Daphnia pulex: one gene and its partners. The protein of the gene in region 5 binds, or shares a complex with, the protein of the main gene of each other region. Links are inferred from orthologs where the notes say so. Each region holds a gene or a part of one and is shown on either strand. Other genes may lie near its edges. The genes, in order: general transcription factor IIF subunit 1-like; RNA polymerase I-specific transcription initiation factor RRN3-like; DNA-directed RNA polymerases I and III subunit RPAC1-like; general transcription and DNA repair factor IIH helicase subunit XPB-like; DNA-directed RNA polymerases I, II, and III subunit RPABC2-like.

Region 1 (5,100 bases), on a different chromosome or scaffold from region 5:
CTCCATCCTGGAAAGCTGCTGCAAATTATATGAAAGAAGCTGCTAATGTAGGTTACTTTATGTTTGTAGTTTTTGATACACTTTTAATGTTTATTTTCCGAGTCCAGAAATTCTCCGTCGAAAGTGTCGCCGAATATTCCGCCGATTATCAGAAAGATATTGAATTCTTGATTGAAAACGCGAAAAGGGCTTGCACAGACGACGAAGCAGACATGTCAAAGCGACTTCAAGTTTTCTCTCTATAGTATTCTGAACGAATATCCAGCACCTTGCTCACCACCAAGAAATGTTAACTTGTCAGTTCAATGGCTGTTTTTCATCTAAAAATGTGAAGTGTTTCCAATAACAGATAACTTGTTGAAATAATACCAAAACTTACAACTGCAAATTTGTTTAATCGTTCCGAAAATCACGCATTTTAACAACCGTTCTAGTCCGTTTTTATAAACCGTAAAGGGAAGGCCTGAGATAATTTCAGTAAAGTAGCAATAGTGATTGCAGCACAAACAGAACACACCAATCATCGTTATTGTCGCTAAGCCTTAATCGACAAATACATCTTCCCTTTAATTGTCTGCTTCACGGGGTTGATCTTCTTCAAAATTTGTGCAATGTGATGGACAAGCTGGTCCGACGACAAACCAGTTTTCTTGCTTTTGAACTTCTGAAGCAATTCGGTCGTTGTCATTGGCTTGCGGGATAAATAACGTCTAACAGACTCTTCATTGACTCCTTCATTGGCACTGTAAAAGAAAAAATATACATAACGTTTCAGGATTAATTTTAGTTCATTATTTATAAATACCTAGATGATGATGCAGCTGAAGCGGCAGAGGCAGCTGAAGCAGCGGATGCCATGTCCAATCGAGGTTTCTTTGTTGCTTGGCCAGTAAGAGCATCGGACACTGCAGGTGTTCCCTTTCGCTTGCTATCTGATAGCGTTGTTTTAGGCGGCGATGTTTCAGGTTTCGTCGGAGTAGCTGATCTAGAACTGTTGGCACTCCCCCTAGAAATAGTTTGTCAGTTAACTGTCAGGAAACCAAATTACTGCACTTACGGTTTCATTTTTGGGCTCGGTTTAGCTTTCTCCAGTTCGGATGCTGAGCTCTCGGCACCGCTGTCGCTTGACGATCCTGATAAATGTTTCGTTATTATTTGACTCAAACACACGATGTTTTTAAATGGATATTACCATAATCCTCGTTGCGGGGCTTTTTATCCTTGTTCTTCTTTTTTTCTTTCTTCTTCTTTTTGTCGCCTTTTTCGTCTTTGGAAGCCTTATCACCTTGCTGGTCTTCGGCACCTTCAGCATCTTCCTCTTCTTTGTCTTTGTCTTCTTCTTCCTCCTTTTCTTCGTCTTCATCTTCTTCGTCCGAGTTAAGCAACTTGCGGAGAGCATCCTCTTCGGCAACACCCTTTAGTCCGTCCTTTGCTTCTTCTTTCTCGAAATCACTAGATTAAAGAACAACGCGGGTGTGTTAGAAAATCGACAAATGCATCAAGATTAATGACATACCTTTCGTCATCGTCGGAAGAGGAAATGTAATCCAACTCTCTGCCTTCACCATCACCATCATCGCTATCTTCGATAGCTTCATCATCGGACGCATTCTTTCGCTTCTTCTTCGGCTTAACAGGTTTCTTGCCTTTCTTCTTCTTTTTCTTACTTTCTCCATCATCGTCGTCGTTATCATCATTGCCGTCGCTAGAATCGTCATCGGAAGATGCCATCATATCGTCCAATTCATCACCAAAACGAGAATCTGAATGCAAAAGTTGTTATAATTTTGTGACATTATTTATGGTGGAACTTTTGCTTGTTGCCTACCTTTAGCTCCCTTCTTTTTCTTGCCTTTCTTTCCTTTGCCTTCACCTTCTTCCTCGCCCTCTTCTTCGGCGTCTTCATCGTCTTTCCTTAGTCTCTTTCTCATCATGACATTGAACATGTTGTATGTTTTGTTCCTCATGTTGTACCCTTCCTCTGCTTCTTCAATACTCAGTGGTTTGTAATTTTGAACTGCTTGAAAACTGTATTGTTCTTGCACAGGAAAGGCATCAAACACACCATCTGGTGCTTGCGTAAAAACGTAGTACGATGCATTTTCATTAATGCCACCATCTCTTACTCCTGTTTAATAAAATAAATATAATTGCACATTACTAAACTTTCTTATTGCTATCTTAGCTTGGTTTCCAACTTTAGTATACCTCTGAACTTTTTCCCACTTTTTCCCCCATGTTGTAAAATCCAAGGCTGGTTTTCAGGATTATACTTTTTGCTTATTATGCCATACTTCTTCCGTCTAGCTTCCTCACGAGCCTCTCTGCCATATTCACTCCCAGCACCAAACTTTGGCATATCTTCATTGAACCCTTTGAATGTGACTTGGTTGTTTTCCCTTTCCATTTTTGGATCTTTCCATTGTACAAAGTCAATACCCATTGAGCCATTGAATCTCATGATGGCAAGCTTTTTGTTTATGTTCCTGTGACAACATTATAAACTCGGTTTAAGAAGGCAAAAATCTAGATGGTAATGTCTGATATTCTTACTTGGGGACTCGAATGTCAATAGTCTGAACATTAGAAGCAGCAGCGGCAGGAGCTGATCCACCAGCAGCTGGAGTCTAATGTAACACATATTATTATGTTGAACTAATTAATTAAAAACCAAAATGTCTTTACCCTGGTAGCAGCAGGAGTTGATCCACCAGTAGGAGTCTTGAGAAACACATGTATTAATATTGAATTAACTGATTGAGAAGACAAAAAAATTGTACCTTGTTAACAGCAGACATTATGATGTGACGGTGAAAAACGATTGACAAAACAACTTCTCACCGGCGACACAATGATCGAGACACACCACCGATGTGTTCGTCACAAGTTCGTCACGAATGGTAAATAACTAACCCAACTATGCACGTTACTAAATTATAGGCCAAAATTAAGGGGTGGTGATCGAAATTTCTATGCCAAAAAATATTGGGACACTTTAAACAGCGCCAACGAATTTTATACCCGACCCGATACTGAAGAAAAATAGTCGACGACGACCCAGTTCAGTTTTCGTCTGCTTCAGTTCTTTTCTTTTCACGTCGAGACTGCACTGTCGACTTCCCGCCTTGAACCACATGATAAATTGTGAAAGGCTATTTCTCACTTACCTTATTAAAATATCCAAAAATGGCCAATCAAAAAGTTTTTTTATAAAGAGGTCTAAATTGTTAAGTAATATTACAAGTAAAGTAAATGATTATTCATTTTTCAACTATTGAAGTTCGTTAGTTCCAATTTTGGTCGCCATGGAATTAGATTACCTATCTATTCTCAACTGCCTAATTCGTTTTTCGTCATTTATTTTCTTTCTGTTGTGGAAAGCGTTCGTCATGGTGTTATCGTTCTCTGGGAGAAAAATATATGGAATAGTTTACCATGCATTTGTTGTGTACAGGAAAAGATTCCTGAATGTTGTTCCTAAGAAACCAGCTCTAGTTTCAAGAAACATTGGTAAGTTGCCTAATTTTTGAATTCATGTAACAAAAACAATCAATAACTTGTTAATCTGCAGGATGGATGCTGGGTTTGTTACCTGCAGTCTCTGCTAGTGTAAAAGTTGATGAAGAAAGAGAAAATAAGACCAATCTTATTTCTGAAGCTGATGTCTTGTACAATGAGCATTCCTACACCAAATTGAGAAGTCTTCTGTTGCCCTACAAGGTAATAAGAATAAACTGATTTGTCAGTCTCTGTTTTAATGTTGGAAAAACTTTTTTTAGGCCGAAGATAATGCCGAAATTCTTTGGCGACTGGCACGAGCGACGTATGAAGTAGCGAAATTATCGTCCAGTCCAATTGAACAAAAAGAATTAGATTTTGAAGCATACGGTTATGTTGAAGGGGCGCTGCTCATTGATCCGGAAAACTTTGCTGCTCACAAGTGGATGTTTATTTTGTTAGATAAAAAGGCGTCCTACGAGGGCTTAAAGGAGCGCATTTCTCAATCGTTTGTCGTCAAGAAACACATAGAAAGAGCGTGTGAACTCAACCCAAAGGATGCAACTTCATTTCATTTGCTAGGCTACTGGTATGACAAGATAACAACTTTTCTTTTGTATGTAACGTAACACATTTTCGTGCAACTTTAGGTGCTTTTCTGTTGCTGAATTGCCGTGGCTTCAGAGGCAAATTGCCTCAACCTTGTTTGCTACACCGCCCGTATCTTCTTACGAAGAGGCACTGCAGTATTTCCTAAGAGCGGAAGAAGTTGAGCCGAATTTTTACAGGTACGGCTTGGTTTAATTTTTCATTTTTCTAAATAATTGTGCATTTTGAATGGTTTCGTTTCAGTACGAATTTATTGATGCTGGGGAAAACATATTTGCGGCTCAACAATAAAGAAAAAGCTATCGCTTATTTGACCAGAGCTCGAGATTATGCTATCGCCTCGTCAGAAGATTTGGAGGTGACATATAACGCATTAACCTTTTCTACATTTTATTGTTTGATAAAAATGGTTTTACATTGATATCATAGGCCAAACACGAGGCAGTCAAGCTATTAAATTCCATCAGATAGGCCGCTGGCTCCAAGGACGCTCGAGGATATTTACCCATATCCTTCCACATAAAGAAAAATGTATGCGCCTCTTCTGTTTACCTTGAAATTTAATCAAAAATGTTTGTTTTTTTATTATTAAATGATTTCCTTGTGTGTGTGTTATCGGTACAACATGCAATAGTGCAACAGTTTCCCAAATTTCCCCGTGCGTGTTTACGAATACAAAGTTCATTCACTTGTTCTCGATAGGTCCGATAGGTAGCGTTGCGTGTCACCACAGCCCGAAATGTGCCGAGCTAGAATCCCCGCCAGCCATATGAAGGGAAAGGATACGACGTATGTGTTATCTGTACGTGACGGTCCGTCGGCATTGTGAGTTGCTTCGTGTAGTTCTGAGCTTGTGGACTTGTTTATTTGACTGTGTCTGCTAGGTCAGGAGTTTGTTTCTACAAGTTTTTACTTTGTTTCATCTCTTCCCTGTTGGATTCAACTAAAAGAAAATCCTGTTTTCTTTAATTAGGCAAAACAGGTGGTTGTGGA
Region 2 (4,905 bases), on a different chromosome or scaffold from region 5:
GCCTCCCGGAATAGCAGCCGATCCTAAGGAGAGTTCCGGAGGTTATTCGACCTGGTGGACCAAAATCGGATCACGAGTTTCCAAACATTATAATTACGAATAAAGTGAATGAATGTAGTATTGAAGTTTATTACCTGCAGCACCGTGATGTAAAATCAGAAGAATGATGGGTGTCACGACCGCTTGGCGCTAGTGTACATGTCACCATTCGTCTTTTTCAGCATGCCTGCATGTTTGTTTGGTAGTCCCCTGTTGGTGTTTAAAAAAAATATGCGCCAAAACCCATAATGTGCGCATTGAATTGCAGTGCCTTTACCCGCCTCTTCACCTACCAAAGTTTATTCTTTCTTTCAACTGATGTATAAATAGGTGTTTGATGAAAACAGAATTATACGATTTTTATATTCCCAAATGCAACCGACACGCTTCACTTGAATTTTATTCTCACTAAAGGGAACTGGTTTTTAAGTGGCAATTTTTTTTTTCAAATGAATTACACGAAAACTTTAATTTTCATTACACGCTGGCGACAACATCTTTGTAAGTTGAATAGGAAACGGCGAAATCGAAGGGGAGAGCAAATAACATTGCGGTAATCGGGAGAGTAGACAAAAAGAAATTTAACAAGCCCACGAATCAAAGGAGAATTTCAACGTACGTCCCAAGCCGCCCAATACGATCGAGTATAGAAAAAGGAAAAATAATGTTCTTACGAAGAAAAACCGCAGCAGTGATCAGCTCCCGAAGTTGTGAATAGCGTAACGGATGATTAATCCGTAGACCAAGACCCAAAAGGAAAAAATGTTAATTTCAACGGTCTTCCAACAAATAGGCACGATCGAGTGAATATATACCACGTTAATATACATAATTTAACCGACACGAATGGGAAAAGACGGTCATATGGTAATAAAGATGTAGAGAATTGCAGAAAATAAAGAAACAGGGAAAATGGGGTAAATTTTAGATTTTACCAACGACAATATCGATGAAATCAACCCATGAAGTGGTGCATAAAGCCGCCAACTCTTGGTGATTCAGACAAAAGCTCCTCCATAACCTGATCGCTGTCGTAGAGTGAATCGTCACGACCGATAGGTTTGTCAATAACAAGAGGTGACACAAAGTCCATCGATGAGGGCAAGAGGTATTTCTCGAATGGATATTCTGTATCCATGACAAATGTGTCAGTTGTAGCTTCAGGTATACAAACCCTCTGATTACGAATCATGATGGTGTGACAGAATACAATCTAAACGAGAATTTCGGTTAATTACGTTACAAATCAACTTGATTGATAGTGGTACAACCTGCAGATGTGAAGCGGATTCTGCGAATTGTCTGACAGTTGTAGCGTGACAATAGCGTAGTGGGTTCAAAGGTGAGTTGACAATTCGGTTCAAATCCAGGGCTTGCAATCGGGCGAGAACTGCAAAAATGATCAAAAGGTTAATTGAATTCCAACAATAAGAAAGAACGATCATCGTACGCTTTCTGTCGTTGACAATATCTCGATGCCTAGCAGCCAAAACGTAGAAGGGAATATGACAAGCGGCATAGAATGCTGCATGGGCTCGGATTTTAAAAACAGCTGCTCCCTCACCCTTTGATTGCCGATCGAGGTATGCGTGAATCCACTGACACACTCGATCCAGACAGTCAATGACGTACCTTTAGAGAAATCACGAGTTAATGTTTGGTTTGATTGGTCTTATTATCACAAATGTGAACGTACTTCATGGGTACAAAAGAGGCTCTCCCCAAAAACGAAGCAAGGTAATCGGCACACGATTTTCGAATATTCAACTGAGATGAAGGGGTAAGAAAAATGACCCACAAGCGCTCAGTAAAAGCTTCATAGAGAGCAGTTTTGGTACTACATATGTAGAACATCAAGTAATGGACATGATGGATACCGGCGGCCGGTAGTATCAAAGATTCGAACGTAGCGTACATGTCCTGATAAAAATTCCGATGAACAATCCATTCGCTATGACATTTGCGATGACACAACTCAAACATAACTTTCATGATTTCGTCTAACGTTTCAGAAGCTTGATTCAAGACTGTATCCTCATCAAACTCCATAGGCTGATTGAATTTTTGTAGCAAGTCCTCTCTTGAAACTCTGCTGTCCAATTTAATGATTCTATACAAAAATTATTCAATTAGTTAATTAAAATAAATGAATTAAAGACTGACATACCTTCCAATGATGAGATGTAAAACACGGGGTCCAGACATTTCATGGTATTCAACAAAATGTAGAAGATTTCTGATGTAGTTTACTTGATTGCAACTGCTTGATCCAATGTAGGGAAAACCATTATTTAAAGAATCCCAAATAATACTTTGAGACCTGTCAATACAAAAACATTATTTTCTTGATCCTGGAAACAAATAATTACAGGGCTCTTACAATGGTATCAGCTGCAAAATTCCCCTCAAAACTAGATGCACATTCGATGTAGATTTTTCACAGTCTGAATTAAGTGTCAGATGTGAGACTAGCATTTTGACTACTGATCTACAGTAGAATGTGTGTGCTGAAACTAGTGTTTGGAGAAATGTCAAATATTCATCAAGTACTGGGGGCTGTCTTGTTGTCCATGAAATATGCAGCAATGCATCAACAAAGGAATCAACTTTTGGAGTCAGCAGACTGATAGAGCTGTTTACTTGTTGAAGAATCAGGAGTAAAAATCCATCCTAAAAATAAAAAAATTCTTAGTTCGTAATCTTGTAATCCTACGTCCAGTTTTTTCCCCAAATTACTTACATTGACATTAGGATCATTTTTCAGATTCAATAATTGGTGATATTTCACTTCGCTTCGCCCTTCGATATAATCCTTCAAAATTGAAACCACGTCAATTGTGACCAAGGAGTCAAATCGGACCTGCAAAGGCTGGGAAAGTTTCTTGGGTTGCATACTGATTCGCGAACTGGGTTTCAATATGGACTGTGGTATGGGAGTCAACTGGGAGCAATTCGTACTCGCCATGGCTATCGTTTCTTTTACTTAATACAATAATAAAAAATAAAACTACTTGGTTCTCGAACTCTTAACGATTTCTGATTTTACTATAGTGATGAGCTCTGTGCTTGTGATCTTTGCAATCACTAAAACTGAAAAAAAACGGCCAAGACCACGTTGTCTCATCAATGTAGCTCTCACTGCTCGCGCTGATTTTTTATCAGTCTGCTAGTGCGATGATACTATTAGCCTACAGCGTTGTCAAATTTCTTTACGATTTAATACATTTATAAATTTAAAATAATAGTTCCAAACATCGAAAACGAGCAACATTTTATAAATTTTATTATTAGGATTTTTTTTTAACTCGAAGCCAAAATGAAAACGAAAGTTGTGGTTAAAGTTGTTTTGCCATAATGACTCAGGTAAGATGTGACAGCTGTATTCACGCACGATATTTCAACTTGTTTTGACAGAGACAAACAGCTGGCAAGTGACAACGTAATTTCCGTAATAAAGCGTACGATCGAATTATCTTTAAGTGTATCCATAAATTATCTCAAACATTCCATATAACATTCGTTTGCTGAACTTTTACAGGAAGAAATATTAGAGCTAAACACTCATCCTGAGATGGTCAACATTCTTGAAGCTGTAAAAGGAGCTACGCTTAATTACGGAAAAAGCAGCATGGAGGTCGACCGCGATTTTAAAGTAAAACAATCGATGTAATTTCTTCATAGTTTCATATCATCAATTTATTTAAATGACAGAATTGGGTTGCCACTTCACCTTTAAGTGTCCCTGCTAGCCAAGGAGAAGGGACCAATTGGGGCAAGTTCCTCATGATTAGCTCTGTTCATCAAGAGTTGGCCAAGAATGTTTCCATTATGAAACGTGTTGATGGTGACTTTGAAGAATTTGTGAGAGCTCTCAAGCAAGACAGACAAAGAAAATGGTCACACATCCAATGGCTAGAAACATCTGCCAAAATGACTGAGTATCATATGTTTGTCTAAATGTGTTATTTCTGTATTTGTAATCACCAATTATTTCTAAAGACTTGGGATGTTATTAAGTCAACCTGAATATCAAAAACTTCTTGGTTTGGCTCTTTCAACCACTTTTGGCAAACCTCTACGCTACTGCATCCAACATGAAATTGTTCCAGCTGCAAGTTATTGGACCTATTATGCTGATCAGCTAGAGTCATGTCCTGTTACTCAAGTATTAAATTCATTATCAGTTGCATTACTAAATTTTTTCTACTAAAGTTTATTGGTTTTTTTTTCAAAGATTGGGAACAATATTGCTGTTGTAATTGTGGGTTCATCTAATCCAGTGCTGTCTGTGTCGCGTGCAATCGCACCACTCGTTTCGAGAGGAATGTAAGCATAAGTTAGCCCTTTATCTTATTGATAAACGAAAATACTGAATTACCTTTTGACTTTAGGCCAATTGTATTGGTCCCTGAAAATGATCTTCTAGCAATTCCATGCCTTTTAATGGGGGAATTTTTAAACAAAGTGGGATTGGACTGCAGCGTGTATGCCGGAAGTTCTGAAAGGTTGAAAGGAATCACTTCTTCAGAGGGCATCGATATTATTGTTTGCGGTAGCTATGATCAAGCGCTCGCATTGCGCGATGGAGCTTCGAATCTCAAATTGGGTAACTTTGTGCCGTGAGATTTTAAATAATTTTAACTAATCCTGTTTTTTTTTAATGCCAAACAAGATCTCGACGGGAAAAAAGCAGTCGTGGTGTTGGAAACAGGTGATTGCGATGCCGCTGTAGATGCCGCACTTACCGCTTTGAAGACGAGTAGCTTCAACAGCTGTGGTCTTTACCTGATCGTTCAGGACTCTATGTTGGAAGAGATTGATTGGCGTTTGCGAGAACGCTTCAACGCTAGTCGCTCGGGCGAATTA
Region 3 (4,872 bases), on a different chromosome or scaffold from region 5:
TGTGATTTGCGATGCCAGAGACTCAACCGAGATCCACTTCCTTCTTCTTCTTTTGTCTTCGCGTCAGGAGCACTCACGTATACACACACACACACAATCACATTAAAACGCATCTTCTATTGTTCCCATTACGAGATATCCTCCTATCTTTTGCATTTTCTAATAACTTGGCTCCTAAAACTTGACGCTGCACGAAAGACGGCCTAATATCTTCACTCGTTTTTAGTTGGCGACGTTCTAGTTTTGTCATCACAGCAAAAAACAAAAATTTTTTTTTGTTGTTTTTGGTTTGGCTGTGAAGCAAAAAATGAACGAAGAAAAGAAAACAGTTGAGGGGATTTCAACCGCCCCAATAATGGGAGACTTACCGGCATATAGTTGCTACGCAGGGATGACGTGTAGGCCGACGATGATGAACCGCCATAGGAGCTACCGTAGGAGCCACCATATCCTCGTTGACTGGAGTAGTAGCCTGCCATTGCGTAATCGTCTTCTCCGGATCCGAAGAATGAAAATAGGAAACGATAGGGGTTCAAAACCGAAATAAAAATGAATAGACAATCATAGGCATAAATTTATATGAGGCATTCTCTTACCCAATTTCTGTTGTCCAGCCAAGTCCAAATGAGAAAAAAGATCTCCCTAATTAACAACTTCACGATCGGCCCAGATGGGGGAAAGGGGTCTTTTGATTGAGGGAGACGGTTTTTCTTTCGTCCGGCCACCAAGCAGAGTGCGTCGTCGACTGTACTTGTAGTGAACGTGGAGATGGAAAGCGACCCGAGTGCTCTACGTCCGAAACAAAACTCTTCCACAAGCTCGCAAGCTTCCACAAGCTTCCACGAGCACTAAATTTAGATGCCACGGTCAATGAGAAATAGACTTAAGAGAAAGAGAGAAAAGAAAATAGGAAGAAGAAGAAGGGAAAGAGAAAGGGAGAGGAGATAAAAAACAAAACAGAATACACTTCTTGTTCTTCTTCCCATTTCCTTCATCTCATCTGCCTAGACTTTCTTGGCACCACCTACGCATATTCCACAATGGGCTAAAACGAATTGGCGGTGTAAACAAAATGTGAGAAGGAAGGAAGAAGAACATTAGAAGGAGGAACATCTCGGTTCACATCCAAAACAATCAAAACCTTAGGATCCAAGGTCAATAAGAGGCTACTACAGCTTATCTAGCAAGTCTAGCGCCAACGTTTCGTAAAACCAGTAGCGAAACAAACAGAAGCCATTGTTGCAGAAGGCAAATAAAAATAGCGATGGAAAGGAACATATGAAAAAGGATAGGTATCCTTCCGTAAAACCAGGAAGAATTAGTTGCTCGCCTCCACCCCTCAAATTTTTTAAATAAGTCTTCCCTTCCTTCCGTTTGAAAAGCTCCGGTTTCGGTTTCTAAATGCAGTTCTGGGTCACTCGGCTGGAATCCTGGGTGATAACTATATCAACGGCACAAACGCCTCCAGGTGAACTAATAATGCGTAATCGTCATGAATCAACGCGTCTATTTAGGATACCATTCCTACAGTCCATTCTTCAATTCATCCAAAAATACACGGCATTTTTGTGACAGGATCTTGGCGGCTTCAGTGAAGAGGACCTCCGGCGCCAGTGCTCCAGTAGACTCGATGTAAACTAAACACATTTTCAAATGCATCGCTAAAGTAAGGAATAAGCAAAAATCCAATAACAATACTTACAGATGAAATGGTCGCGTGCTCGGGTCAGCTTTACAGTGTCCTCTTTTAGATCTTCGTGACGGAATACGTTGCGGCTGCAGATGTCATATCGGGCATCGTTGACTTTGGCAACCTTCTTTTCACCTGAAATAGAATAAAAAGGTAGTGCTTCACACTAATTAAGCTAGAAGAAAAAATATAGTATGTAGCAAACCTGAGTCGACCAAATCAATAACCCCAGGGGAAAAGCACTTTTGTAATCTTTGGGCAGCTTCACCTTCCACTTCCTTAAGAAGTTTCACTTGTGGTAGGAGACGGTAAAATGCGGTAGCTTGAGAAAATAGAAAAATAGTTTTTGTTTAAATCTCGGTCCAAAAATTCTTAATCATAAAAAAAAACAATAAAACTAACCAACGGGTGAGAATTTTGCATGTTCTCGTCCGGTCCCTTTCATTGCGTGCAATTTGATGTCAAGTTCGTGACCAGGTCTCATTTTTGCGATTAGAATGTTATCGTCAACTGGTCCAACTGCATCAGGGGTAAAGATATCTTTTTGGCCACCCAGTGGAATCCATTTCAAATGAGATGTCAAAACTGAAAAAAGTAGGTCAGCATTCTGTCGAAAAAAAAAGGTTTGAGTTTCCCTTCTTACCTCTGAAATCCCTGTACAAGTGTTCAGGATTTGTATGATCTTTAGTCCTTTGAGGATTCCACGAACATTTCACTTTTAACTCAAATTCAAGTGTATCTTCAGGAGTCCCAGTATCATCATCTAAAATGAGAGATGGGGTAACAAAGATTCAGTTATATGAAGTAAGGTGACAAAGAAAAGAATGGGTGTTTGGAGTATACCTTCAGCTCTGAATTCAAACAATCTTGGGTCAGCTTTCAATGGTATCAGTCCCAGTCTGTGGGCCAAGACTTCATCTTGGATGATTGAGGTATTGTTGAACATGAAGACTTTGTCGAAGGCCATGGTGGGAATATCAGACAGCAAAATACGACGAAAAGCATTTGGTATGGCTGGATCAACACCAATCAAATCAAACTCCATTTCCATATTTTCCATGCGGACAATGTTAATTTTGAGCCTCTACAAAATCAGAAAAAATGGTAATGCTCTCTTTTTATCTACTTATAGTGTAGAACTTTTCTTAGAAGAACCTTTTTGAACTTTTCAAAACTCCAACTGTCGTCAAACCCATGATGATTTCCTGGGAAGTCTGTGGCTTCAGCCTAAATAGTTATTTTTATTATTAAATTTGGTTGAACTTAGGAAGATTTCTGTTATGTAGTATTACATTAAGAACTTCGAATTCTGTCAGCACGAGTTCATTCCTACTTTCATCAATGTATTCCTTGCTTGATGAATATTTAACTTTACTTTTACTCATTTTTCCGTTGAGCTTTAACACGTGTCTGGACGAGGGAAAAATTGGCAAATAATGACTATTGTGAAAAGTGTCGTCTGCTTTTATTTATTTTTAAAATTTACTGCAAGATGTCGCCACCGTCTCGCCACCGTCTCTCAGTTTAATTCAGTTCAAATCGAAACCGCTTTTCTAGAAAACAAACGGACATATATTATAGGGTAAAGGTAAATAATAAGAAATTAAATATTATTTTGATAGCCAATAAACACCCTCCTCTCAAAAAAAGAAAATCCTATTTCCAATAGTATTTCAAGGAATTTGTTGAGTTTTTATATTTCTATTTTTTCTGAGGCAAATAACACATACACGTTAGACACAGTAACTGTACACGATATAAACAGTTAGCTTGGATGTTAGCGCGATACTTACGGTATAAGCTGAAGTATATTCGGCGTATCAAACAGTCCGAACTAAACTAATACGTCAGCATTTTACAGACATGTAATGTATGGGTAAATTATTTCTTTCGGAGGAGAGAGAATAAATGGGGCATTTATCCTGAGACTGAACCATCTATGAAAAAAAAAATGTATTCGTCTTTGTCATTTATTTAATTTTTTGTCTTATTCTTTGAAAGAATGTATTTGGACATGACAGCAATTCGTGAATTGATTTTGCTGTTATCGTCGCTTGAAGCTGAAGCCCTTGGTGTTCTACGTCTCGAATACGACTCCGGTTCTGCTGTTGCCTGCGGGATCGGTCCTCGATCAGATTTTCCTGTAATTAAGAAGTTCATTTGCAGGTAACAAAAAAAATTACAATTGGTAGAGGATGTGGTTTACCTGCTGCGTCTTTTTCCAAATCCGAATCCTTGTTAGTGGAACGGCTAGACAAGTACATTGAGTAGCGCTTATCGTAGACGGGCGGATCGTAAGATGAAGAGTCGACCGGCTTTATCGACGACGGCCTGGCATACGAGCTGCTGTAGCTAGGACTGTAGCTATCAGAGCTGTAACTTGAGCTTCTCTTCTCGTAATCCTTATCATCGTTCAGATAGCTCGAAAAGAAACGAGACAAACTATTGATATTCATTAAATACCATCTGGTTCATTTGCGTGAAAATTTGATTTGTTCGTTACCGAGTAGAGGGTTGGGTGTTGGTCTTCGTGGCGAAGCGATTGAGCACTGACGAAGTCGCCTCACGCAATTTGCGTAAATCTTCTTCGATATCCTGAAAGTGAGCTAATGGTTTGTTAATTGATCAAACAAAAATGTAGTCAACTTATAGAATCAAAACTTAGAACCCAACGGTAATTTCTAATAATTTGAGCTTATTCTATCAGCTATAGAATAAAACTATTTTTAAGATATGCTACGCTATGCAAAATACGTGGGTGGTTCACAAAGCGCTCAAATAAATTTACCTCTAGTTTCATGACGGGTTCTCCGTTAGCATCATCATCCAAACACGAAGCGGCACTGTAGCGCGCCCTGGTCGTGGTACCGGTAGTCTTGACGGGTGCAATGTCGTCATCACTATCCAAGTACGACGCACGAGTGTGGCGCGAACGAACCGGGATTTTGACAGGTTCAAATTCTTCGTCGTCATCATCCAATTTCGAAGCTCGATTACGACGGGGTCTGTCTTTCTGAGTATTGACAGGTTCAATGTCTTCATCATCGTCTTCATCACATTCAAGTCTATCTCGTAGATATCCGTCTCTCTCTCGAGCAAACATCGATTGCGGAAAATGATTCGCAACTCTCGGGACGGCTCCTCGGCAACCCGGTGCCTGAAATACAAACAAGAAGAAGTAA
Region 4 (4,259 bases), on a different chromosome or scaffold from region 5:
TCCTCTCTGTGCTTTGGTTTACTGGTGGATTCTGTATCTTTTTCTTCTTTTGGAATTTTCCCTTCAGACACTGCAGCAGTCACTGATGCTGCGGGATTTTCTTGAACGGAATTCACAAGAGTTTTTATAATTGACGATTCAGGTCCACACCCTTCTTGGAGAATCCTCAGTGCATCTTCATCAAGCTTGTCAGGATCTTTTGGAATTTTATACTGCTCAACGTGGTCGACACGCAGAGTTCTCCCACAGACCTTAGAAAACATATTTTGTAATAATGAAATGCCTGACAACCCAAAAAATGTTATTTTTACCTTGATGCTATTTAAATTGTCAACTGCAAGAATTGTTGATCTTTGATCTTCGTAACATAAAAAACAAAAGCCTTTAGACTTGCCTGTAACCTTGTCTCGTACTAAATTGATGTTTGCAACCTCTCCATACCTTAAAAAAAAATTTTAACTATTAATAGCAATAATAAACATCACTTAAGTATTAACCATACTGAGAAAAAATGCAGATGATGTCCCCCTCAGACAATTCATAAGGCAATCCTCCAATGAAAATCCAAGCACTGTCTTTGTATTGATAATGCCATGAAGCTTTTCCTGATATGTTGTACTTCAGTTCAGTCTCGCTGAGTTTCTTGATATTCTTCACATTCCTAAGAAAAAGGAAATAGCCATATTAATAATGAACTTATAATATATTCTAGTCTAATAAGGTAGCATATAATATGCTTCGTTCTACGCAGCACCAGCAGATAACATGATTCCAAACTATATTTATGTTGTCCAGTCCCTACATTACAACACCCCCACACAAAACCTTCGATAAGTTTTATTATATTTACCCTCACTATGTGTTAACATACTTTTTAAGTTAGCCATAAATCGAAAATTTCTCACAAATAATATTGATACAAGATTATGAGTTTATGAATGATGCAAAAGCTATGTAGTACTTACGTTAGTGGATTCATCTTCGTCCAACAGGAAAGTTCTCGTAGAGTTTAGTTTAACTTGAAGATGGGCATTATTGCAAGGTGAGGAGTACTTAAGTCAGGATCGAAATCCGAAAGAATAATAACTGGATGTATTTGATTGAATTATTTGAATTGCTTTTCTTATTTCCGATGGCAGTTAGCGAAATGCCACTTGCCAAACCAAAGCCAAAATATCAAGCAGACGATCACGTTCAAGGAAAGAAGGCATGTAAGACGTACCGAGTGCGCCTCTGGTGTTTAATATATGCATAAACATCTGCTATTATGATCTCCGTTGATTGCTTGAATATAGGAAAATAATTCATTTAATTTAGAAGTTAGAAATAAGTTTTCAAAGTATAAATTTACTCGAAACGATCAAGAAGTACAAAATATAATTCTCGTTCTTGATTTTCCGCTAGGTGTGCTATGTGTGCCCGAACCATGCTTCTGCTTCAGGCGATTTATTTTTGTGTTGTTGCTCTCTCTCAGCTGAGTTTTCACTGTCAGTGTTCAGTCTTCACTTCAGTGTTCGTCCAAAGTTCATCATTCAATCACTTTACCGAGAAAGTTAAATTTGTTTAGAATTTTCCAGCAGTATTCATAGAATAATTCACGGTTATTCCTCTGTTTAATATGGCTGGGGGGAGCCGTAAATACGGGAAAAAAGATGGAGATCGTTATGACGCGTCCAAGAAAAAATTTGCTGGTAAAAAACGAAAGGATTTTGAAGATGAGAGTGCTTATGATGAAGGCATACCGGATGGAAATGAAGCTGAGGGTGTGCCAGAAGCGGCAAAGCACTTCATTGAAGTTGAAGGTGAAAGGCAAGGGGAAGATGAATATGGAGCCAAAGATTATCGAGACTTGCAGCTTAAACCAGACCACATGTCTAGACCATTGTGGGTTGCTCCCAATGGCCACATCTTCCTGGAGTCATTCTCACCAGTCTACAAACACGCTCACGACTTTCTGATTGCAATAAGTGAACCAGTTTGTCGTCCAGAACACATACATGAGTACAAGTTGACTTCTTACTCATTGTATGCTGCCGTCAGTGTCGGGCTGCAAACTCATGACATCATAGAGTATTTAAAGCGCTTAAGCAAAACTGCTGTCCCTGATGGAATTGTAGACTTCATAAAGATCTCAACACTCTCTTACGGCAAAGTCAAATTAGTGTTGAAGCACAATCGCTATTTTGTTGAGTCTCAATATCCAGATGTCATCCAAAAATTGTTGAAAGATCCTGTAATTCAAGAATGCAGACTTCGTCACAGCGTGGAATCTTCAACAGATGGACTGATCACTCAAGTTCAATCAAAAGCAACGTCTATTCAATTTGGAAAACCTGGTACTTCAGGAGAGGAACCAGGAGAAGAAGGAAAGCAAGTGCCTGATGACATATCGAATTTTTACGACAAAATGGACAAGGATGAGGACGACGAAGATGATTCTTCTCTTCAAACGGTTGCATTTGAAGTAAATCAAGAAAAAATTGAAGTCATTCAAAAGCGATGTATTCAGCTAGAATACCCTTTGTTAGCGGAATATGATTTTCGTAACGACACTCATAATCAGGACATAAACATTGATTTGAGACCTGCAGCTGTATTGCGGCCTTACCAGGAAAAAAGCCTGCGAAAAATGTTTGGCAATGGTCGTGCTCGCTCTGGGCTCATTGTTTTGCCTTGTGGAGCTGGTAAAAGTTTGGTTGGTGTGACAGCCTGTTGTACAGTTCGAAAAAGAGCTTTAGTTCTGTGCAATTCTGGAGTTTCAGTCGAGCAGTGGAAAGCCCAGTTTAAGATGTGGTCTACTGCTGACGATAGTAAGAAGTTGTTAATATGTTTTTATCTTTACTTGATAAATAAATGTTTTTTTTTTTTTTTTCATTTCAGGTATGATCTGTCGTTTTACATCTGATGCAAAGGATAAGCCTCATGGATGCAGCATCATGATCACAACCTTTAACATGATAACACATCAGCAAAAACGTTCGTATGAGGCAGATCAAACGATGAAGTGGCTCCAGGAGCAGGAATGGGGTATTATGGTGTTGGACGAGGTGCACACTATTCCAGCTCGCATGTTTCGTCGTGTTTTGACCATTGTTCAAGCCCATTGCAAGCTTGGTTTGACAGCTACTCTCGTCCGCGAAGATGGTATTTGATTATTTTTACCTGTAATGTATTTATTTGTCTGATCAACGATTTTCTTTATCTTACAGACAAGATTGCAGACTTGAATTTTTTGATCGGACCAAAGCTGTACGAGGCTAATTGGTTGGAGCTGCAAAAACGTGGATTCATTGCTCGAGTACAATGCGCTGAAGTATGGTGTCCTATGAGCCCAGAATTCTATCGCGAGTATCTGGCCTGTAAATCCGCAAAGAAAATGCTTCTCTTCGTAATGAATCCTAACAAGTTTAGAGCCTGTCAGTTTCTTATTCGCTACCACGAGCGACGTAATGACAAAATCATCGTTTTTTCGGATAATGTGTATGCTCTTAAGCACTATGCGCTTACCATGAATAAGCCATTCATTTACGGTCCAACATCTCAGAACGAAAGGCTTCAAATTCTACAAAATTTCAAACTGAATCCGAAGGTGAACACAATTTTCGTCAGTAAGGTGGCTGATACTTCCTTCGATTTGCCTGATGCCAACGTGCTTATTCAAATATCCTCGCACGGTGGCTCTCGTCGTCAAGAAGCTCAACGTTTGGGGCGTATTCTTCGAGCCAAGAAAGGTGCCATTGCGGAGGAGTACAATGCGTTCTTCTACACGCTGGTATCGCAAGATACATTGGAAATGAGCTTCTCTCGTAAACGTCAGCGATTCTTGGTTAATCAAGGATACAGCTATAAAGTCATCACTCGCATGGCGGGCATGGATCAAGACCAGGAATTGAACTACAAGAGCAAGGAAGAGCAAGCCAACCTGCTACAAATGGTTCTGACAGCATCGGATATTGATGCAGATGAAGAGCGTGTACCCGGAGAAATTGGAGGTCGGCCTGGTCCATTTGGACGACGCGTTGGAACCATGGCATCAATGAGCGGTGCCGATGACGCAGTTTATATGGAATATAAACGCCCATCAGCTTCAAATAATTTATCCAAACACCCCCTTTTCAAGAAATACCGCACCAAGTAAAGATTTTCCAAGTCATAAAATGTGATTACTATATCTCAAAATTCATGTTGAATAAATACAGAAACTGGTTTAATACTTTTTATTTCTCACTTTTTTTTGGTGTCTGGTGACAGGTGTGTGA
Region 5 (3,392 bases):
GGAAAAACTGGTTTCCAAGAATTATTTCCTCCATATGTCAGCAAAAGAAGCTTACAAAGCCTACATTCGTGCTTATGATTCTCATCATTTGAAAACAATCTTCGACGTTCATACACTCGACCTGGCTAGAGTGGCCCAAAGTTTTGGTTTCAAAGTTCCACCGACAGTAGACCTTAGTATGTTTAATCTTATCTGTTGGCCTTGACATTTCAGATTTCACAAAATTTGACTCATACATTTTACTTTGTAGACATGCGTAGTACTAAAGCTGACCGCCCTCGCAAACGCCAAGGGAACTTCGGGGAGACCCATGGAGGAACTAAGCACCGTACAAAAGCAAGCACATATCGTCAAGTTGGACAGAAACCAAGCGACAAACGGCAATTTTCTCGATAATTTTTCTGACTGTTTTATACGTTGTCCACAGACAATAAATTTGCGTATCCAATATTTTCGTTCAAGCTTTATTTCTCTAAATATTGTAATGGTAATTTTCCTTAAGAGATGGCGGGCGGAATTCGTCGCTCATTTGTTTGAGATGGAAATAAAAATAGTTATTTTTCTGAAGGGTATCGTAGAATTAACCATTAATGAATATTGTCAATAGATCGTGAGATGATATTGATAATAGACTCCTAGAATAAATCACTTCAGTAATCAAAACACTTTCAACTGGTTTTAGTAATCTGAATTTACCCACAAATAACTATGTCTACCATTTCAAGAATTCCTAAAAAAGTGCTCACTCTTAAGCAGGTAATTCCATATTTATAGCATTAACATATCACATTGCAGAGCTTCTGATAAAAAATTATTCTCTCTCAGTTCATGCTTAGGCAAGAGGTTTTGAATTTATACAGAGAAGGTAATTGATTACTTAATATTAGGGTACATAGTTCTGATAACTATTAAACAAGTGTTTTGTTCATCAAGTTCTACGCACAGCTAGAAAAGTAGATAGGCATCAAAAAGACGAAATCATCAAGTGGGCTAGGAGTGACTTTGAAACACACCGATCTCACACTAATGAAGTATTAATTAGTTTGTTTTCATTTGGAATTTATTTCACAGAATTTTATTTTGAAGGAAACAATCAAGGGACTTCTCATCAATGGGAGACAAATGGTGAAAGAATTACAAAGTACAATTAAAAAGACATCTTAGTGTATTATTGTATGTTGGACTCAGTCATTGATTACAAGTTCGTCTATTCCCCAATCTTCATAACTTCCATCAGGAAGATAGCGGCGAATGATTATAGGAATTTTCTTCTGCTTCAATTCTTTCATTGCAATTTGCAGGGGATCTGTTTCGCCTTCCAATTCAACCATGACTGGTGCACACATTGCTATTTGTAATGCTCTGGTCCCTAACACCCGTGCCCTTTCATACCTAAAAATGTAAGACTTGTTTATAGTCTTTCATGAGCTATGCATCTTTCAAGTGTTACATACTTTGTCATGTAAGGTGTTGTAATGCGCTTGGTTTGCAGTTGGCCAGCTCCACCTTCACCTTGCTGAAGTAGATCAATTTGTGCATCATCGTCTGGCTGTTCCATTTCATCCATGTTATCATCGTCTTCAGCATCTTCAAAATCGTCGCCACTAAATAACAGAAATTCAACATGTTGTACATGTGATTAAGAAAAGAAGAAAAACTCCAACTAACTATTAACTTACTCGTCGTTCTCAAAGTCATCGTCTGCCATTATTGTTTAAAGGGTAAGATAATCACAGTGAAAAGTGAAAACTGAGTAAGTTAACAAGACCACGAGATTTCCAGTCAAATTTAAGAGATTTGCATTTGCTACAGCGTGCAGACGATGGTGCCCTAGTCAACCGCCACCGCTTTGTCGAGTTGTCGGCCGAGTCAACTTCGGCGTTCGTTCACCAGGTGGCCTTGCGTCCCTTTCTTGATTCAAATGTCGATTCATAAAGTATACGACTATACGTGTGGACTGTGGATACTTTATGGTTGGATCTCGAATGGACGATTCATGGTAAAATACTAAAATGCATCCATTTGTAACAGGGTATAAGAAAACAGTAATTTAAAATGGAAAATGTCAGCACATCGTTGCTTCGTCGACAGTGTAGGACAGTCCAAATGTGTATTAAATAGCTGGGATATTAAGTTGTCGAACGGTTGCAGAGGGTCGATCTCATCAGAGGCGAAAGTAAACCGGTGGCCGTTAGGAGGACGAGGGCAAGAGATCCTACTTGGGATTTCCGGTGAAGTTAAATGTTTTTTTCCAACTTGTAAAAGATGTAATGTTTTACAGCAATTTGCGTGCTGATTATGTCGCCGTCGTACATGCTCGCACGTAAATGCTTACGCTGGTATCTAATTATTACAACTGCCGGACTGTTAAAATGACTGAGATTTTCAAATTCTGGATTCGATTAGAAAATGTTGCGTTTAATGATTCACCTTGTTTTGAGACTTGTTATTACAAACTAAATGAATAAACGATATAGTAATGTACATTAGTAGGTGGGAGCCCTGGGAGGGCATTCAAATGAGTCGTTAGAACCACGCCGTCGAAAGGCTAATCACGAATACGATTGAAACGAGCATAAGGGGTGTCGATAAAAAGGCGGATGTTCAATGAGTGCCGGAAGTTGATTCAATAATATCCCGGATCTACGTTGAAATGAAGAATAAGAGCTCAGTCTGTTGTAACCGTTTGGATGACCCTTTTCTTTTGGCATCCCTCAGTCGAACCGAACGATATGATCCCGATCTGTTTCCACCTGCCGTCCATCTGTTTGTAATTCATCGATCCGCCACTATCGCCCTGCCATATTTGCATACATTTTAAAAGTAAATTCACTAGGATGATTATGCGTTCACTTACTATGCAAGTTCCCATGTTGTTGGCGCCATCACTGGTGCACATAATGTCCTCCTTGGATGTTGTCGCCATAAGTTGTCCTGCAGTCGTTATTGGAGATGAGCCGGACCGTCATCTTATGTAACACTGGGCTTATACGTGGACTACCTGAATTTTTGAAACATTTAACTTTTATTTTGGATTCTCTCGTCGTCGTATGTTGAACGGAATACCGTCGTAAGTTGTACCCCATCTCGTGACGGTAACCATTTCGTTGACGTAATCAGGTTCGTCGATACCGGAAATTGACAGACACACTGGGCGGATGTACTCTGTACAAAATCTTAAATTTAATTATAATTTTAAATTAAAGAACACGAATTAATGATACGTGAATATTTGACGGCGCTTTTGAGTTTGATGAGAGCAATGTCTCCTGCATCGGTGGCAGGATTCCAGGCACGATGGATGAAGGTTTCGCTATTGGAATACAATTTCCGGTTGCCTTCCGACTCTGCCGTGTGATCGTGAACCCCCAGATAGACGTCGATGTAGGCCT

What was found.
Region 1: DNA-directed RNA polymerases I, II, and III subunit RPABC2-like (region 5) and general transcription factor IIF subunit 1-like share a complex: the UniProt entries of both Homo sapiens proteins name them as parts of the TBP-based Pol II pre-initiation complex. The link is inferred for Daphnia pulex from reciprocal best matches to the Homo sapiens genes POLR2F and GTF2F1.
Region 2: DNA-directed RNA polymerases I, II, and III subunit RPABC2-like (region 5) and RNA polymerase I-specific transcription initiation factor RRN3-like share a complex: the UniProt entries of both Homo sapiens proteins name them as parts of the pol I pre-initiation complex. The link is inferred for Daphnia pulex from reciprocal best matches to the Homo sapiens genes POLR2F and RRN3.
Region 3: DNA-directed RNA polymerases I, II, and III subunit RPABC2-like (region 5) and DNA-directed RNA polymerases I and III subunit RPAC1-like share a complex: the UniProt entries of both Homo sapiens proteins name them as parts of the pol I pre-initiation complex. The link is inferred for Daphnia pulex from reciprocal best matches to the Homo sapiens genes POLR2F and POLR1C.
Region 4: DNA-directed RNA polymerases I, II, and III subunit RPABC2-like (region 5) and general transcription and DNA repair factor IIH helicase subunit XPB-like share a complex: the UniProt entries of both Homo sapiens proteins name them as parts of the TBP-based Pol II pre-initiation complex. The link is inferred for Daphnia pulex from reciprocal best matches to the Homo sapiens genes POLR2F and ERCC3.

The regions. Positions count from the first base shown.
Region 1 is NC_060018.1:350,089-355,188, forward strand, and holds general transcription factor IIF subunit 1-like, read right to left. Parts: upstream 3,108-5,100; 5' UTR 2,799-3,107; coding exon 2,781-2,798; intron 2,722-2,780; coding exon 2,686-2,721; intron 2,628-2,685; coding exon 2,554-2,627; intron 2,487-2,553; coding exon 2,209-2,486; intron 2,129-2,208; coding exon 1,829-2,128; intron 1,764-1,828; coding exon 1,517-1,763; intron 1,453-1,516; coding exon 1,193-1,452; intron 1,134-1,192; coding exon 1,058-1,133; intron 1,007-1,057; coding exon 806-1,006; intron 744-805; coding exon 536-743; 3' UTR 376-535; downstream 1-375. Other genes in the region: uncharacterized protein LOC124188758, read left to right, coding at 1-47, 108-245; regulator of microtubule dynamics protein 1-like, read left to right, coding at 3,135-3,217, 3,281-3,510, 3,572-3,720, 3,780-4,087, 4,149-4,286, 4,351-4,465, 4,537-4,578. UniProt on the Homo sapiens protein: TFIIF is a general transcription initiation factor that binds to RNA polymerase II and helps to recruit it to the initiation complex in collaboration with TFIIB. It promotes transcription elongation.
Region 2 is NC_060026.1:14,529,671-14,534,575, forward strand, and holds RNA polymerase I-specific transcription initiation factor RRN3-like, read right to left. Parts: upstream 3,227-4,905; 5' UTR 3,005-3,226; coding exon 2,780-3,004; intron 2,710-2,779; coding exon 2,420-2,709; intron 2,360-2,419; coding exon 2,207-2,359; intron 2,150-2,206; coding exon 1,736-2,149; intron 1,672-1,735; coding exon 1,490-1,671; intron 1,430-1,489; coding exon 1,311-1,429; intron 1,253-1,310; coding exon 995-1,252; 3' UTR 422-994; downstream 1-421. Other genes in the region: protein piccolo-like, read left to right, coding at 1-103; uncharacterized protein LOC124203933, read left to right, coding at 3,611-3,691, 3,751-3,977, 4,039-4,204, 4,274-4,365, 4,431-4,645, 4,712-4,905. UniProt on the Homo sapiens protein: Required for efficient transcription initiation by RNA polymerase I (Pol I). Required for the formation of the competent pre-initiation complex (PIC).
Region 3 is NC_060020.1:1,789,866-1,794,737, forward strand, and holds DNA-directed RNA polymerases I and III subunit RPAC1-like, read right to left. Parts: upstream 3,140-4,872; 5' UTR 3,076-3,139; coding exon 2,983-3,075; intron 2,918-2,982; coding exon 2,846-2,917; intron 2,775-2,845; coding exon 2,534-2,774; intron 2,454-2,533; coding exon 2,334-2,453; intron 2,276-2,333; coding exon 2,093-2,275; intron 2,013-2,092; coding exon 1,896-2,012; intron 1,826-1,895; coding exon 1,703-1,825; intron 1,638-1,702; coding exon 1,525-1,637; 3' UTR 1,520-1,524; exon of another isoform or gene 1,491-1,519; intron 1,442-1,490; 3' UTR 607-1,441; downstream 1-606. Other genes in the region: sodium/potassium/calcium exchanger 1-like, read right to left, coding at 369-479; uncharacterized protein LOC124192222, read right to left, coding at 3,665-3,831, 3,897-4,132, 4,194-4,285, 4,479-4,847. UniProt on the Homo sapiens protein: DNA-dependent RNA polymerase catalyzes the transcription of DNA into RNA using the four ribonucleoside triphosphates as substrates.
Region 4 is NC_060020.1:5,844,609-5,848,867, forward strand, and holds general transcription and DNA repair factor IIH helicase subunit XPB-like, read left to right. Parts: upstream 1-1,459; 5' UTR 1,460-1,618; coding exon 1,619-2,810; intron 2,811-2,880; coding exon 2,881-3,144; intron 3,145-3,209; coding exon 3,210-4,138; 3' UTR 4,139-4,213; downstream 4,214-4,259. Other genes in the region: RNA-binding motif protein, X-linked 2-like, read right to left, coding at 1-251, 312-441, 503-661, 966-979. UniProt on the Homo sapiens protein: ATP-dependent 3'-5' DNA helicase/translocase. Binds dsDNA rather than ssDNA, unzipping it in a translocase rather than classical helicase activity. Component of the general transcription and DNA repair factor IIH (TFIIH) core complex.
Region 5 is NC_060023.1:6,841,076-6,844,467, reverse strand, and holds DNA-directed RNA polymerases I, II, and III subunit RPABC2-like, read right to left. Parts: upstream 1,867-3,392; 5' UTR 1,709-1,866; coding exon 1,680-1,708; intron 1,605-1,679; coding exon 1,455-1,604; intron 1,393-1,454; coding exon 1,185-1,392; 3' UTR 1,165-1,184; coding exon of another isoform or gene 1,087-1,164; 3' UTR 1,043-1,086; downstream 1-1,042. Other genes in the region: ATP-dependent RNA helicase DDX18-like, read left to right, coding at 1-176, 251-396; LYR motif-containing protein 2-like, read left to right, coding at 709-756, 826-865, 934-1,031, 1,087-1,164; chymotrypsin BII-like, read right to left, coding at 2,886-3,001, 3,067-3,165, 3,225-3,390. UniProt on the Homo sapiens protein: DNA-dependent RNA polymerase catalyzes the transcription of DNA into RNA using the four ribonucleoside triphosphates as substrates.